Drosophila melanogaster: one gene and its partners. The protein of the gene in region 3 purifies or fractionates together with the protein of the main gene of each other region. This does not show direct contact. Each region holds a gene or a part of one and is shown on either strand. Other genes may lie near its edges.

The links. Proteins that work in one complex are often made in the same cells at the same time.
Region 1: the proteins of msps (region 3) and Hsp83 purify together in Drosophila melanogaster (affinity purification with western blotting; one study listed by BioGRID). This does not show direct contact.
Region 2: the proteins of msps (region 3) and tacc purify together in Drosophila melanogaster (affinity purification with western blotting; 4 studies listed by BioGRID, with this or other methods). This does not show direct contact.

The regions. Positions count from the first base shown.
Region 1 is NT_037436.4:3,191,291-3,197,605, reverse strand, and holds Hsp83 (heat shock protein 83), read right to left. Parts: upstream 4,638-6,315; 5' UTR 4,239-4,637; intron 3,108-4,238; coding exon 954-3,107; 3' UTR 547-953; downstream 1-546. Other genes in the region: CG14966 (uncharacterized protein), read left to right, coding at 86-508; CG14965 (uncharacterized protein), read left to right, coding at 5,176-6,315. UniProt on the Drosophila melanogaster protein: Molecular chaperone that promotes the maturation, structural maintenance and proper regulation of specific target proteins involved for instance in cell cycle control and signal transduction. Undergoes a functional cycle that is linked to its ATPase activity.
Region 2 is NT_033777.3:4,743,369-4,748,398, reverse strand, and holds the start of tacc (transforming acidic coiled-coil protein), read left to right. Parts: upstream 1-1,984; 5' UTR 1,985-2,224; coding exon 2,225-2,602; intron 2,603-3,733; coding exon 3,734-3,935; intron 3,936-4,216; coding exon 4,217-5,030.
Region 3 is NT_033777.3:16,049,109-16,053,811, forward strand, and holds the start of msps (mini spindles), read left to right. Parts: upstream 1-1,692; 5' UTR 1,693-2,068; intron 2,069-2,769; exon of another isoform or gene 2,770-2,808; intron 2,809-2,966; 5' UTR 2,967-3,036; coding exon 3,037-3,725; intron 3,726-3,780; coding exon 3,781-3,851; intron 3,852-3,915; coding exon 3,916-4,235; intron 4,236-4,294; coding exon 4,295-4,703. Other genes in the region: IKKbeta (I-kappaB kinase beta), read right to left, coding at 113-212; CG5013 (uncharacterized protein), read left to right, coding at 680-808, 860-1,474. UniProt on the Drosophila melanogaster protein: Binds to the plus end of microtubules and regulates microtubule dynamics and microtubule organization. Function in neurons is essential for adult survival, and is important for climbing behavior and activity.

The DNA of each region.
Region 1 (6,315 bases), on a different chromosome or scaffold from region 3:
CAGTAGACCTCGCAAAATTAAACACTAGTTGCTATTAAAATGCATTTAAAAACACAAAATATTTAAAATAATTGCCAAGAAGCTAATGCGCCGCTTGTTTACATCGGTCAACGCCCAAATAATGTCGAAGAGCAAGGGGAAATCAAAGGCCGGCGTTGAAAGTGCGAAAAACGATGCAAAAGCGATGCCGGCTAAGGAAGCCAGTCCGATTTCAGTCGATAAGAGCGGCAATATATGCATACAAATCCTTGCCAAGCCGGGGGCTAAGCAGAACGGAATCACAGGAATTGGCTTTGAAGGAGTGGGCGTCCAAATCGCCGCTCCGCCCAGCGAGGGAGAAGCTAACGCCGAACTGGTCAAGTTTCTGTCGAAAGTTCTAGGTCTTCGAAAGAGCGACGTTTCTTTGGACAAGGGATCTCGATCGCGAAACAAGATAATAATGATAACCAAGGGAGTGTCCACGGTGGAGGCCATTGAGCAGCTGCTGCGCAAAGAATCCGATTCATAGATTGTTTATTCCCCCCAATAAATACTCGCTCAGAAGTTAGATTTTTAAAACACATTTGCTTGTTGTTTATTTGGTTTTATGTTTATCATCGATCGGGTCATCAAACCTTAATTATATATATACTCGATTCTTTATATAGCTCTACCAACTAGGGCGCGTATGTAGTCTTTAGTTTTTTACATAAATTACTTGGATTCTAAATTATAAGTTCTTAAAACGACAACTGCTCTTGAATGTTCTGTGAGAACCTAACCATTTAACGAGTTATTCCTGCTTTTTTATGAGTTAAGCGTATGTCTGTCGCTTATAACGCGGCAAAATGTTAATGAATACAAAATTTAACTCGGCCGTAGTAAACTCAGTATAAAAGTTCGAAACGCAAGTAAATTGTGTATGTGAATGCGAGTGATAGAATGAATTTTGGTTGTTTGTTTCGACTGGTCGCTTAATCGACCTCCTCCATGTGGGAAGCGTCCTCTGTGTCCTCAACCAGCGAGGGGGCATCTCCGGCGCTCTGGGCATCGTCGGTAGTCATAGGCTCGTCCTCGTCGATTCCCAAGCCCAGCTTGATCATGCGGTAGATGCGGCTGGCGTGCACCTGGGGGCTGTCCAGCGAGAATCCAGAGGACAGCAGAGAGGTCTCGAACAGCAGGATGACCAGATCCTTGACGGCCTTATCGTTCTTGTCGGCATCGGCCTTCTGGCGGAGAGTCTCCACAATTGGGTGATCGGGGTTGATCTCCAGCTGCTTCTTGCCGGCCATGTAGCCCATTGTGGCGGTATCACGCAGAGCCTGGGCCTTCATGATGCGCTCCATGTTAGCGGACCAGCCGAACTGCGAAGTGACAATGCAGCAGGGCGAATCCACCAGGCGGTTGGACACCACCACCTTCTCGACCTTGTTGTCCAGGATGGACTTCATCAGCTTGCACAGGCTCTCGAACTTGGCCTTGTCCTCCTCGCGCTTCTTCTTCTCGCTCTCATCCTCAGGCAGCTCCAGACCCTCCTTGGTGACAGAGACCAGCTGCTTGCCCTTGTACTCCTTCAAGTGCTGGATGACATACTCATCGATGGGCTCGGTCATGTAGACCACCTCGAAGCCACGGGCCTTGACGCGCTCCACGAAGGCAGAGTTGCTGACCTGGTCCTTGGACTCGCCAGTGATGAAGTACACGTGCTTCTGGTTATCCTTCATGCGCGACACGTAGTCGGCCAGGGAGCAGAAATCGTCGCCGGAGGCAGAGGTGTGGAAGCGAAGGAAGTCGGCCAACTTGGCACGGTTGTTGCTGTCCTCGTGCACACCCAGCTTCAGGTTCTTGCTGAACTGGTCATAGAACTTCTTGTAGTTCTCCTTGTCCTCGGTGAGCTCCTCAATCAGCTCCATGGTCTTCTTGACCAGGTTCTTGCGGATCACCTTTAGGACCTTGTTCTGCTGCAGCATCTCACGTGAGATGTTGAGGGGCAGATCCTCGGAGTCGACCACACCCTTCATGAAGTTCAAGTACTCTGGAATGAGGTCCTCGCAGTTGTCCATGATGAAGACACGACGCACGTACAGCTTGATGTTGTTGCGCTTCTTCTGGTTCTCGAAGAGATCGAAGGGCGTGCGACGGGGAATGAAGAGCAGAGCACGGAACTCCAGCTGACCCTCCACGGAGAAGTGCTTGACGGCCAGATGATCCTCCCAGTCGTTGGTCAGGGATTTGTAGAACTCGCCGTACTCCTCCTGGGAGATATCATCGGGATTGCGGGTCCAGATGGGCTTGGTCTTGTTCAGCTCCTCATCCTCAGTGTACTTCTCCTTGATGGTCTTCTTCTTCTTGGCATCCTTGTCCTTCTTGTCGGCATCCTCATCCTCGCCAACATCCTCGATTTTGGGCTCATCAGTCTCCATCTCCTTCTTCTCATCACCTTCCTTCTTCTCATCATCAGCCTCATCGTCGCTGACCTCCTTCTCGCGCTCCTTCTCTACGAGCAGCTTGATGGGGTAGCCAATGAACTGGGAGTGCTTGTTAACAATCTCCTTGATCTTGCTCTCCTCCAGATAGTCGGTCTGGTCCTCCTTGATGTACAGCACGATCTTGGTGCCACGGCCCAGGGGCTCAGAGTTGTCGGCACGGACTGTGAAAGAGCCTCCGGCAGAGGACTCCCACACGTACTGCTCGTCATCGTTGTTCTTGGAGGTGACAGTCACCTTGTCGGCGACCAGGTAGGCGGAGTAGAAACCCACACCGAACTGACCGATCATGGAAATGTCGGCACCAGCCTGCAGAGCCTCCATGAAGGCCTTGGTTCCGGACTTGGCAATGGTTCCCAAGTTGTTGACCAGGTCGGACTTGGTCATACCGATACCGGTATCAATGATGGTCAGAGTACCAGCCGTCTTGTTAGGGATCAGCTTGATGTACAGCTCCTTGCCAGAGTCCAGCTTGCTGGGGTCAGTAAGGGACTCATAGCGGATCTTGTCCAGGGCATCGGAAGCGTTCGAGATCAACTCGCGCAGGAAAATCTCCTTGTTCGAGTAGAATGTGTTGATGATCAGGGACATCAGCTGAGCAATCTCAGCCTGGAATGCAAAGGTCTCTGCTTCTTCTGGCATCTGCAATGGATTTACAAAATCATTAGGATTAGTTATAGTCTGTGGGTTCAACACTAAGGAAAAGCAGCTGCATTTTCAGCAGCTGCTCCGGTTTTATTCTTTTTCTTTCTTTCTCTTTTGCACATGCCTCATTTAACATGCGCATATACAAGTACAGTGGTGGTCAAAATTATAGCATTCACTTTGCAACCCGTAAAATGGAATTTTAATTTCAATTAGCCAACAGAATTGATTTTAAGTTGCAAAATAATGTTTTAAATTTAAATATTTAAATATAATTATGCAAATTGGGTCGGTTGATAATTTTTCTACCCCTGCTGTGTGCAAACTCGTGTCTGTGTGAGTGAGCATTGCATTGAAAATTCGTACTTCACCAAGGAAGTTTGTGGAAGCATCTAGAAGCCAAAGGAAAACTAATTCGCCTAGCAAGTTGCTAGTAGCAACCAACCAATTAAAATAGAGCAAATAGGATTAAAAAACCGATTTAACAGAATTTGCTTACTGACGCCACATTTTTACTTGAAAGTATTAGTCATGGGCGTGCATGTGTGCGTATGCGGCATGTGCAATTTAAAATGGGAATGCAAAGAAAGCACGTGTAATTGTAAATGAAGGACAGTAATTTATAATTAAAAAGCCTATTTGGCACGCTGTTTAATTCATGCTAAAGCATAGAAACCTCTAGAACATTCTCGAGCGGCAAATGTGATTTGCGCATTGTCACCCCCTAAAAAGAGCGGCATAATTCGATTTAGCGCTAAAAGACCATTGCATTAAACAAAAATTAATCTTGTATTCTATAAACCACATGTAATTGTAAATAAAGGACAGTAATATATAATTAAAAGGCCTATTTGGCACGATGTTTAATTCATGCTAAAGCATAGAAACCTCTGGAAGATGCGTCCAAGCGACAAAAAATAAAAGAAACCGGCATTTTGAGTTAATTTGCACGTTGCCACCTCTTAATTAATCAAAAAAAATTCTTAAACTTGGCTCCTAGAAATTTAAAATCAATATCTCACATTTGGGTCAAGAACATTCGAGATGCACAGGACCACGCAAAATGCACATTTTGGCCATAGCCACTGATAAACTATTCACTCTTTTCTTGTAATTTGCATTACTCACCTTGTATGTATGTTTTTCGTTCTATTCACAGAATAAAGGTAAAAATACAGATATTTTCACTTTGCTTTGTATAGAATTGGAAATTCACAAAACTTTTCAGACGCTGCTTGTTGTTACGACGCACACCGTACGAAATTTTTTTCAAGACTCGAACCGGCAAACGCCGCGCGTCTGCTTTTATAGAAAAACCCGACCCGAACTGGAAGTCTCTAGAAACTTCTAGAGGCTTCTGGATGCCAGGGATGCAACTTCCTGTGAATACTAGGGTAGATCAGTGTTGTGATACGGTCGAAAAGTGCGCAACCTGTGCGGGCGAATTCAAAAATTATACTGAACTAAGTTTGGTGGAAATTCGTCTAAGTGGTCCGAACGATTGAGCAAAGCCCACTGGGATTGCTTAAAACATTACAATTGGATATCAAAACGCCCACTAGGCTTATACTGTAATTAGGAAAATGGAAAATTTAATTGTTCCCAATATTATTTTACTTGTTTTAACAGTAAATAATAAACAAATCAGCTTATGACCTGTTAATTTTTATTTATATTTATGAATACTTTTCTCCACCAGACTATCGATATTTCCAGAGTTTCAGAGACTTGGTGGTGCAAGCTGGTTCCTCTGGAATAAACTAGTTCCATTTTAAGCGGACGGTAAAATTTGAAATCACTTGAGTGGGTTTGGGGAACAAAAATTGGAAAGTTTTTGTTGTAATTAGCTAAAAAGCAGACATTTCACATTCCGGAAAATAATTGCTTCTGTGCAAAACCTGCTACAAGCCCAGTCAAGTAAAAAATCTCTCATTAATTAAGAAGTGTCATATCGATCATTTGGTTTCGGTCAATTCTGTTATCGATGCCTCCCATCGATATCACCAGCTGACGCTAACACTTCCACCACTAATAACATAAAAGTTGTTTGCTTATATTTAAACAAATGGGCGGCACTAAGTGTTGTTTTCGTGATTGTCCGGTGGGTTCTAGCCGCAACCCCAATATGCACTTCTTCAAGTTCCCCGTTAAGGATCCGAAGAGGTTGAAAGATTGGGTCAGGAATTGTTCAAACCCTGACGTTTCAAATGCACCGCCGTCCAAACTGGCAGCCAAAACAGTTTGTGCCCGGCACTTTCGAGCGGAATGCTTCATGAACTACAAAATGGACAGACTCATCCCAATGCAGACGCCCACTTTGTTCAGGATCAACAGGGATCTGGCACTAGACTATGAAAATCTCGACCAGAACGGTGAAGCTCTTCTCGTGAAGTTGACGCCTCCAAAGCAGCAACACCTAATACCACCTAAAGATTTCGAGTGTCCTCTGGGATTCGTGGATGGTGAGACACAGAATTTGGATGTTGTTAAGAAACGAAATACAGTAGAGTTGACAGAAGAGGAGGAACCGCAAGGGAAAGACGAAGCCGACGAAGTGCTGGCTACGGAGCAGGAACAGCCGGTTGTACACACGGAGAAAACAACGGTGGCGCATAAGAGTTCTACAACATCAACAAGCGCTTCGGCTATGCCTCAAAACATTCTAGATATCATAAGTCAACTTCAGCCTTCATTGGGCATCAAATTGATTAAAAGACCAGTAAAGCGTCAATCAGGAAGCGAGAATGAGTTGTTTCAGCTTGAAGAGCAGCTCCCAAAAGAACAAACTGATGATACAAGCAAGATGCGAACAGTCACCAAGGAATCAGAAAAGCAAATTAAATCAAAAAGTTGTATTATTGACGTTATGAAAATGCCAAAGCTTGCCGATAAATGTCAAGAAAAGCAAGTGCCAACTAGAAAAGAGTACCGACCAATTAAAGGGACTGTGGTTAGAAAACGTGGGATGCAGGAGGCAGATGCTGATAGACTGAACGAAGATGAATCCACCAAGGAGCAGGCTAAGAAAAGGAAGCTACCCCAAGAAGCACAAAAGACTGACTCCCACGCTTCACCTGAGAACGGTACGATATTGAACCGATATACACAATTGCAAGAGAAATTCTGGGATGAGCAGAAGACTCCGATGTTGGAGAAACCCACCCAATCCATCCAAATTAATCTTAGTTCTAGCAAAGAAAATAGT
Region 2 (5,030 bases), about 11 Mb from region 3:
CGGGAAAATTACCATAAAGGCGGACGACGGACGAGGGAATCGGGTATGCCAAGGGAAAATCAAAAGTTACTTATTCTTCCTTCTATATATTTGTCTCTTGAAATTTCCACTCTCCAGATGGTGCACTTTCCATTTAAAAATGCTAGTGTGTATCGCTATTATGCCAATAAATCAGTTGGCGGCTAACGGCTGCAAAATGTCAGTGCCTAATGCGGTTTACAGTCCAAAAAACGCCCATCTGAGGATTTAAGTTTGACTAAATGTCATTTAACTCCATCTTCCCTTTTGCCAACAAAAATGCTCATTATAAAGGATCTACAGATGGTTTCCACCCCTTTCCACATTTGCCTATTTTTAGATCAGTTTATAGTTGGCTCTTCCTCAATATTTGTTTTCTTTTATTTTCCTGAGTTCTATTGGATATTCGAATTGCAGCTTAAGGTTCAAATTCCACTTGTATTCTATTCTATTGTATTTATTGTGTTTTCTGAAATCAGTATACTCATTTGTGGCCACTATTTGGATTCCACTCAAGGCTTATATGCTTCAACAAACTACATTGGTTTTAAATTCACCCTGAGCCGGGAACCGTGTGATATCTTGTCACCTGTCGCGCGCTGCTTGGATAACGCTAGAGCCAACATCTAACTATTCCCCCCTCGTCAAGGCCCATCGTGTGGGATTCCGTTTCATTGCTTACATTTTCTCGCCAAACATGCAAAGTCAGCCGTTGGGCAATGTGGAGCTTGCAGATAGTGCGCCATGATGCGCAACAATGGCTGTGGGATTGCATGTCATCTGGGACCCACCAGGCCTCTACACTTGAAACAATGTGATGAGCCAAATCAACATATTTATTATTTTAGAGCACTCTACTTGCCTCTACTGGTATATCTTTAAGAGAAAGCATTTTGCAAATAAGACTGTTCTCCAAAAATCCTATGGAAAATGTGCAAAATAATTCTGTCATCAAAGCGTTGAATTTGCACCAAGTTCCTCCAGTTGATTTGCGAAGACAATATAAGCAGTCGGCGGTCGCCGTATTCTCGTATCCCATTTATTTATCCCCTTCTTTAAGTGTTTCGACTTATTTGCGGTGTCTTGCACTTTCACTGCTGCCTTTCAGTCTGAATTTCGTCTGAGGCCTGTATAGTTTTTCAGTTTTTCACTGCAGTTCAGTCAAAAAGGTTGTCAACTTGAGCCCGCTCTTTTGACATTATTATTTTATAAATGTTGCCCACGACCTCGACCGTTTCCAAAATGTATTTCATATATCTAAGAGAAGTGTGTTTAAATGGATCAAGTGTGTGTTGCCCTCTAGCTTCATAAAACCCAATATATTTTCTCGAAATAGAAAAGGGTAACTATTCCAACCATAGAAAGGATAAGATTTCATCTTCAGAATCACCAGCCAAGTCTATCTGGCCACTAAGACTTATATTATTTATATGCTAATAAAATCTTTGAAGGGTATATTTCTCGTAGCTCCAAAAGCTGAGTAATGGGTAGTCGAGAAAAACGACTGAGTTCTCTGTTGTTTTGATTTAATTTTCATTAGGAATATTTGTGCTTAAAAGTTCAGAGTATAACTTATCGGAACTATTTCAAGACTAAGGATGTGCTAAATAAATGTTTTAAGTTGGTATGAAATCCATAATGTGTAATATACAAAGGTGTCTCTAGCCGCCGTCTCACATGTGAAAACATATGGCAGTATTATAAATGGAAGAGAGGACCGTGCTGATAAGGGGAGAACGCCATGTGGGCTAAAACGATCCAAACATGAAGACATACGAAAACATCCGGATCGTTATGTGGATGCCATTCAAACTATTCGTTCTCTCACTCGGTCTGTCGATCCCCCGCACTCTCGCCGTGCTCTAAGTATTTGTGCATGTGTGACGCTGAGCAGAGCAAAGCAAATTGAAAACGAAAATATTTTTAAATTGATTTTAAAGGCAGACATGATCGGGAGGCAGTGAGAACCGCACGCGACAACGGGCCGTGAGAAACCCGGAGGTATTACCCAATATAATGGAAGCGGAAAATCACAGTAAAGATTTTACCGAGTAGGCGAGCCCAAATCTGTGTCACAACAAAAACCACAAAAAAAAAAAAAAAAAAAAAACACTAAAGACCAAACTAAGGAACTCTATAGATCCATTATTTTTTGGAGCCAAGTGAACCGTATCGCGTCTCAGGAGTTAATCGTGCGTAGAGCGGCATGGATTTCCTCGCGAATATCATCAAAAGACCCAAAAGCATCGCCACCACTGGCATCAGCACCAATCAGCCAACGACAATGGAAGCCCTAGAAGCTGCTAGTCCCGCTGATGAATGTTCTACACCAAGGGATAAGGGAGGAGTTACACTTGTATCCGCGCACCTGGACTCGTTACTAGAGTCCGCCTCTGAGGAGCTGCAACGACTGGAGGGAAAGCACTGTGAACTATTTATGGAATCCATCTCGAACCCACTCCCAGCCCCCGAGGACAGCACTGATAGTAGAGAAGAAATACAGAAATTTCTAAGCGAAATAAACTTCAATCTGAACCAAGTGAGTGCTAACGAAATGGAGCACTTGCAAGCCATGAGTGGCGAGGTATGTCTGAAAGAATTAGGACTATCTTTTTATGTGCATCCCTGGGGGGGGGGGGGGGGGTGTTCTAGTATTAGGCAAACTGCATAAATCTACACATTGGAATTTTTTTGTAATGTCCCAATGTGTTTTGCCGATTGCATATATAGTATTTATGCGGTTCCACTTGGTTTTGTCACCTTATTGCGTTGCAGAAAATATTATTTTAAATAGGGTTGTATCTAGCCATTAGCTTGGGCTAATATTCCGCAGGAATCTGCTTCCCATTACCACTCAAATTTGAGCCCATTGTCAAAAAATTAAAATTAAAATACTTATCAATAAAATCGAAACGGAGAAATTGGTCTAATGCCAGAATTTTCCTAATTTTTAGTGTCTCGCTCATAAGCCGGTCACCACTCGCCTTATTCTTCTGACTTTAACCTTGCAGCACCCATTATACTGCAATGCGCTCTAATTAAATTCCGCGTGTAGAACGATGCTCCCAAACCTAAATAGACATTAAACATGGCGGCCGGCCGCATTGAATCCGCGGCATGTTTATTTCGCACTGCACAAAAGCTGACGTCGACCCAGTTCCACGTCCATCTCCCCACCTTTTGCTCCTCAATCCGTTTCGTTGCCACCCTCCCAAACATATGCCATATACCCGATTTTTACGTCTTGGCTGGCTTTTTAATTAATGACATTTGCTTTTGTTGACTGACCGACTGCGACAAACATTTGAAATGTATGTCTTTTTTAAGCGTGAATTGAAGGCATCTGTATCATATGGGCTACATTAGATGAGATTGAAGTTTTTCAAATGAAGATCATAATTTCATAATAATGTATTCTTTTGTATATGATAATAACTAAAAATGGGGGTCCTATGCCTTTGTATAATTTCTTGGCAATGGGAAAATACGGGAAAAGTCATCCCAAATGCGATTTATTTATGCCAACTGTGGTGGGGCTCTTGCCTTTTTGTGTGTCAAAAATTCTTAATTAAATGACCAACCAGCTGCTACTCGTGATCATCTTTAAAACCCCATTCCCAACATCGGTTGTTCACGGTTTAAAACTATTCGGATCATGACCGCGATGTACATCTTGATAACTATATTCTTAAATTTTGCATCTCTTGTTTGGCAGCTGAGTCCGTTGGCGGTGAAGCCCAGTCCCAAGCCAACGAGCATGGATCAACAGAAGGCAATGGCGGCAGCTCTGGGGCATCAGACGGCGGTACCCGGTGGACTTAAGCCAGAAGACGACCTCGTTCCAAAGTTTGGAGGTCTTCCCGAGTTCGATGAGACGCAAATACCGGAACTAGCTCCTTTAAGTACCGATATGGATAGTGAGTAAATCTTGTTTGTGTAACCCAGAAATCTCTTAAGGTAGAAAAATTATATTGATGTACAAAAGAATTCCATACGAAATCCGCCAGAAGAGCGAAGTAATTTCTTCTATTTCAATACCGTCATTTATACAAAGGAAAGGGCCAGCTGGGGAAAATAAATCATTTCCAAGTTTATGTATAAATTTCTCGTTGTATTAATTATATAAATAAATTTCTTATATGTATTTAATTATTATTAAAACGAATTGATTAATATATCGCATTCATTCCTCCCTTAGCTCAACTGAAATCCAACCATTCGGATTCGGATGTTTTTGTCGAGTGTTTATCGCTTCATAGCGAGCGCTACACCGGAGATCGATCGGAGTTAGAGGCATATTCAAGTGCCCTTAATGATGTTTTGGAGCAGCAGCTGTCCATGACCTCAGTTTCTACACTGGGAGCTGAATTCAACGATCCTTTGGCAGTTAGCCAGCACAACAACGTCAGCTATGAAGCCATGGATGTGGATGACCTAAACGAAACCATGGAAATGTTAAAGGACGTCTTGAATGCGGAAGACCGTCATCTTATGCAAACGCATATTCTCAGCGTAACCCAGTCAAAACCAGAGAATAATTTTGTGCACTATCATCCAAATCAGGAGCAAAATAGGGTTGAACTAGACCAGTTAGCCAAACACTCTAAACCCAATAGTGATGCAAAGGAATCAGAATCATTGGTAGAATCAGTACTGTCTGAGGAGTCTGGTACACAATCCTTTGAGCCGAAGCTCACCTTATCTGCCTTGGACTCTACGAAAGACTTAGCTAAGCATCAAGAGGAAATGCAAACAAATACAAAAGATATATTTCAGAAAGAGAAGCACCACCCGGTCAGTAGTGCTCAGGTGAAGGACGCACAAAATCCTAAGGAGCCTGAAAAGGCCTTAAATCTCAAAGAGGCTTCTTCAGAACTGTCCACAAAATCAGCAAAATCTCTAGAATACCCTAATCAAGAGAAGCAATTTTCGGTGGCAGTAGAATCAATGGAGAGACCATGCACTGCCATCAGCCTTGAGCAAAATGCATCCCCAGCTATGGAGGCAACTGA
Region 3 (4,703 bases):
AAGGGGGAGGGTGTTTGGGGGCTGGTAATGTGTGTTTGCGAAAAAGAAAATCCTTAAAATATTTATATGTATATGTATATTAGTGTTAGCCCATAAGGTGTTTATAGCTCACCAATTTCACGGCCCGTTGTTCGGTTTCGCCAATGGATCACTAGGCCGAATCCGCCCTCTCCCAGATTCCGGCACCGCTCCCAGTTCCCAAAAGAGTGCATCTTGTTGTTTTCGTTAAGCTTTATTTTATTTACGGAGCTCATTCTTCCAAGAATCTGAATCCCTCCATGGCAATCGGAAAAGCAAAACACCACAGTGATCATACAAGATTTGCGATATTCGATTGCTTATACACTAGTCATCGTTCAGCAGCAATCGCGGTCACGAGAATTTTGTTTAGAGGAGCGCTCAGCTGCAGCCACTTTCAATTGGGATGCATACCTTTAAATAAACTGGACGAATTGGGATACCCAAAAACGTTTTTAATTGAAGCTTAGAAATGGTGGCTTAAAATGTCAACTGCTACTGAAGTCACCCTTCGGTCACTATTTGCTTCACTCGCCTCAATTTTTATCGATTAAGTTATCGCAACGAAGTGACATCGCTAATCAAACAGGTTGTAAACAAAACGCTGAAAAATAACTTTAGTTTAGTGAAAATAGTAATACTCCTGCATGCTTGAGCTAAGATGCGTTTCCACATGAAGAGCGGCAGCGAGGACAATGACATTGTGGCGGCCACAGCCACTGCCGAGCATATCCGCAAGTTTGTCTTCAGCGGATCACCCGCCGAGCGACTGGAGATCAAAATACCTGAGGTAATCCTTAGAACCAGGTGTTCGTGTAGTATCTAAAGTGTCCGCCTACAGCTGCTTCAGGGTGCCTACTCCTTCTACACATGGCCTTGCGCACCAATTTTAGCCCACTTCCTGTGGGAGCGCCGACAGACACTGGCGGGCAAGCGCATCCTGGAGCTGGGAAGCGGCACCGCCCTGCCCGGCATTCTGGCGGCCAAATGCCGCGCCCAAGTGGTACTTACTGACAACTGCATTCTGCCCAAGTCACTGGCCCATATCCGAAAGTCCTGCCTGGCCAATCAACTGCAGCCGGGCGTTGATATCGATGTGGTGGGCCTGAGTTGGGGCCTGCTGCTGAACAGCGTGTTCCGACTGCCGCCTCTGGACCTTATCATTGCAGCAGACTGCTTCTACGATCCCAGCGTGTTCGAGGATATCGTGGTCACAGTTGCTTTTCTGCTGGAGCGAAATGCCGGGGCCAAATTTATATTTACATACCAGGAGCGGAGCGCCGACTGGTCCATAGAGGCGCTGCTCAAGAAGTGGAAGCTGCAGGCTTTACCCATCAGCATGGAGGACATTGGCAAGGAGTCGGGAGTGGATCTGCTGGAGTTTATGGGCGGACACACTATTCATCTTCTGGAGATCACGCGCATCGAAAGCGATGGCTCAATAAATACAACATAACAATTATACAATTGGCTTTTTTTATGCTGAATGTCAAATCTCTCTTAGTTAATGTTCTACACGGGAATGCTCCCAAACATCAAATAAATATTTGCCTGTGGTAATCGCTTGAAATCAATGTTGGCCAAATATTTGGAAATATATGTTTAAAATTTAGCGCGTACCTATCAAAGTTTTCCACCCAGCACACTAATTCTAGGTTTTAGGGGATGCTAGAGTTGTGAGTAGCGGTCACACTGGCGCAACGACGCTGTTGGAAAACTGCGAAAATTATTATTTATTTACCTACCGCGAAACCAAGTAAATTCCGCTGCACAAAAGAGGCTCGAAGTGCTGGAAACGTAGTTAAGTTATTGTTCATTGTTGCTACATTACTTGGCATCCCGGAAAGACCCCGTCGGTGTGTCTTTGTCGAATAAGTGTGCGTGCTTCTGTGTTGTGCCGTGTGTAAGTGTTGGTACGTCGTCGCCTGCGAAAAATCGAAGTTATTGCATTGCGCAGCCCTTTCAAGCCGCTGTCCCTGGCCAGCTGTAAGTCCCGCAGCTCCTCGCCCAGTCCCCGCTCTACGGCGGTACTTGGATCACAATTCTGATGGTGAGTGTGCTAGTGCGTGTACCGGAATGCACTCGGATGCATCGCGATTTTGTTCCAGGGCGTCGCAATTTGTTTGTCGCTAAAATGGGCGATATGTGCTTCATCTGCGGCTCTCAAGTTGCAGCCACTGGAAATTGATAGCCGCTGCAACCATTGGCGGTTGGGTGGAACGGTAAACGACGGCATAATCCAGACACACAGCCCACAGGAGAAACATTTGTTGTTGCCTGCGGTATGATCCGTTAATTCGAACTTGAGAGCGTCGGTGTGCGTGAGAGCTTGAAAGAGCGAAATCAAGAGAGAGGAAGAAACAAAGCGCGGGCATATCCGAATTGAAAAATGCTCTACTCAAACGTGAGCACAGTAGGAGCGCATCAAAACAATATTAAAGAGACAGATGCATGAATAATAAATGGGAGTGATGGAAAATCCACGCCTGATTCAGTCGCAGGCTTTCGTGTGCGTGTGTCACCTTTTGTAGTGGTTGTGCGGGGGGTATTTGCCGTGCCCCTGATTAATTGACTGAAAAAATAACGCGCTATTCAGCGACATGATATCACCCATCCTGGGTGACAAGCCCACCAACCTTTTCCGAAAATCCAAATTTACACTCTCCTATTTCTGCTTCTGTTTGCCAAATAACTGCACTTAGAAAACGACAATCTAAATATGGCCGACCCATTTACTTTTTTCCGCCCCTCGAGCGAAACGGATGGATGATTCTGCTTCCTTGGCCATCGGTATTTCATAGACTATTAAGCTCAATTTTAAAACATCAGCTCGATGACTCCTGACATCCGGAATAGTTCTGCTTCATTGGAAGCTTGGCTAGTTTTTCTTTTAAGAAAAATTCGATTAAAGTAGCTTTTTTATACATATTTATCTTTTTGTTTCGCAGAATGCTGCTTGAGGCTGTTTGCGACTGAGACCATTGAGGAGAACCCGAGTAGCGTACGAAACACGACACAATGGCCGAGGACACAGAGTACAAGAAGTTGCCGGTGGAGGAGCGGTGTGTCCATAAACTATGGAAAGCCCGCGTCGATGGTTACGAGGAGGCCGCAAAGATCTTTCGCGAGCTGGATGACGAGAAGTCGCCGGAATGGTCTAAATTTGCAGGGCTCATAAAGAAGATGGTAGTGGACTCTAATGCTCTGGCCCAGGAAAAGGGTCTAGAAGCGGCCCTCATTTTTGTGGAGAACAGCGGGCTGGCGGGACGCACAGTAGGCGACGTGATGACAGGCATCGTTCAGAAGTGCATTGCGGCGCCAAAGACCAAAACCAAGGAGCTCTCCGTCCAAGTGGCTCTAATGTATGTGGAGATAGAGAAGCAGGAGGCCGTCGTCGAAGAGCTGGTTAAAGGTATGGAGGCCAAGAACCCTAAGATTGTGTCTGCCTGCGTGGCAGCCACCACACTGGCCCTCCGCGAGTTCGGACACAAGGTGATCGGCGTCAAGCCGTTAATTAAAAAGCTTGCTCCGCTAATGTCTGACCGAGACAAGACGGTCCGAGATGAGGGCAAGCAGCTGGCTGTTGAGATTTACCGTTGGATCGGAGCTGCAATGAAGGCACAGATCTCAACGCTACCACAGGTAACGCTAAAGGAGCTGGAGGATGAATTCGACAAACTCAAAGGTGAACGCGTTGAACCCTCCAGGTGTGTTCAAGGATTTCTCTCTATCATTGCCTAGCTAAACCGCTCTTACTTTTAGATATCTAAAGTCCCAGCAGGAAAAGCAAGCGAAGATCGCCGATGCTGCAGCGACCGAGGATGCATATAATGGTATGAAGCCCTCGATATTACAAAAGCAGTGAATTATTGATTTGATTTTGGTTTTCGTATGCAGAGGATGATGGCGAGGCTGGCGTTGAAGAAATCGATCCTATGGATCTTCTAGACCCCGTTGACATTCTCTCCAAAATGCCCAAGGACTTCTACGATAAGCTGGAGGAAAAGAAATGGACTCTGCGCAAAGAATCGTTGGAAGTCCTGGAGAAACTGCTCACTGACCACCCCAAGCTAGAGAATGGCGAGTATGGAGCGCTGGTAAGCGCTCTTAAAAAGGTTATAACCAAGGACTCCAACGTAGTCCTCGTTGCAATGGCCGGAAAATGTCTAGCCTTGCTAGCCAAAGGATTGGCAAAGCGATTCTCAAATTACGCATCCGTAAGTAACTCTCACCTTCTTCCAAATAACGTGTTTTCATATGTGTTCTTCTATTTCAGGCTTGTGTCCCATCCCTGTTGGAAAAATTTAAAGAGAAGAAACCTAATGTTGTGACAGCGCTGCGTGAAGCTATTGATGCCATATACGCCTCCACTTCTCTAGAGGCCCAGCAAGAGTCCATTGTAGAGTCCCTGTCCAACAAAAATCCAAGTGTTAAGTCCGAAACGGCCTTGTTTATTGCCCGTGCCCTAACCCGCACCCAACCAACCGCGCTAAACAAAAAGCTGCTTAAACTTCTGACCACCAGTCTAGTGAAAACGCTTAACGAACCAGATCCAACCGTACGCGACAGCAGCGCCGAAGCTCTTGGTACTTTAATAAAGCTAATGGGAGACAAAGCGGTGACTCCTTTGCTCGCCGACGTCGATCCACTCAAAATGGCCAAGATAAAGGAGTGCCAAGAAAAGG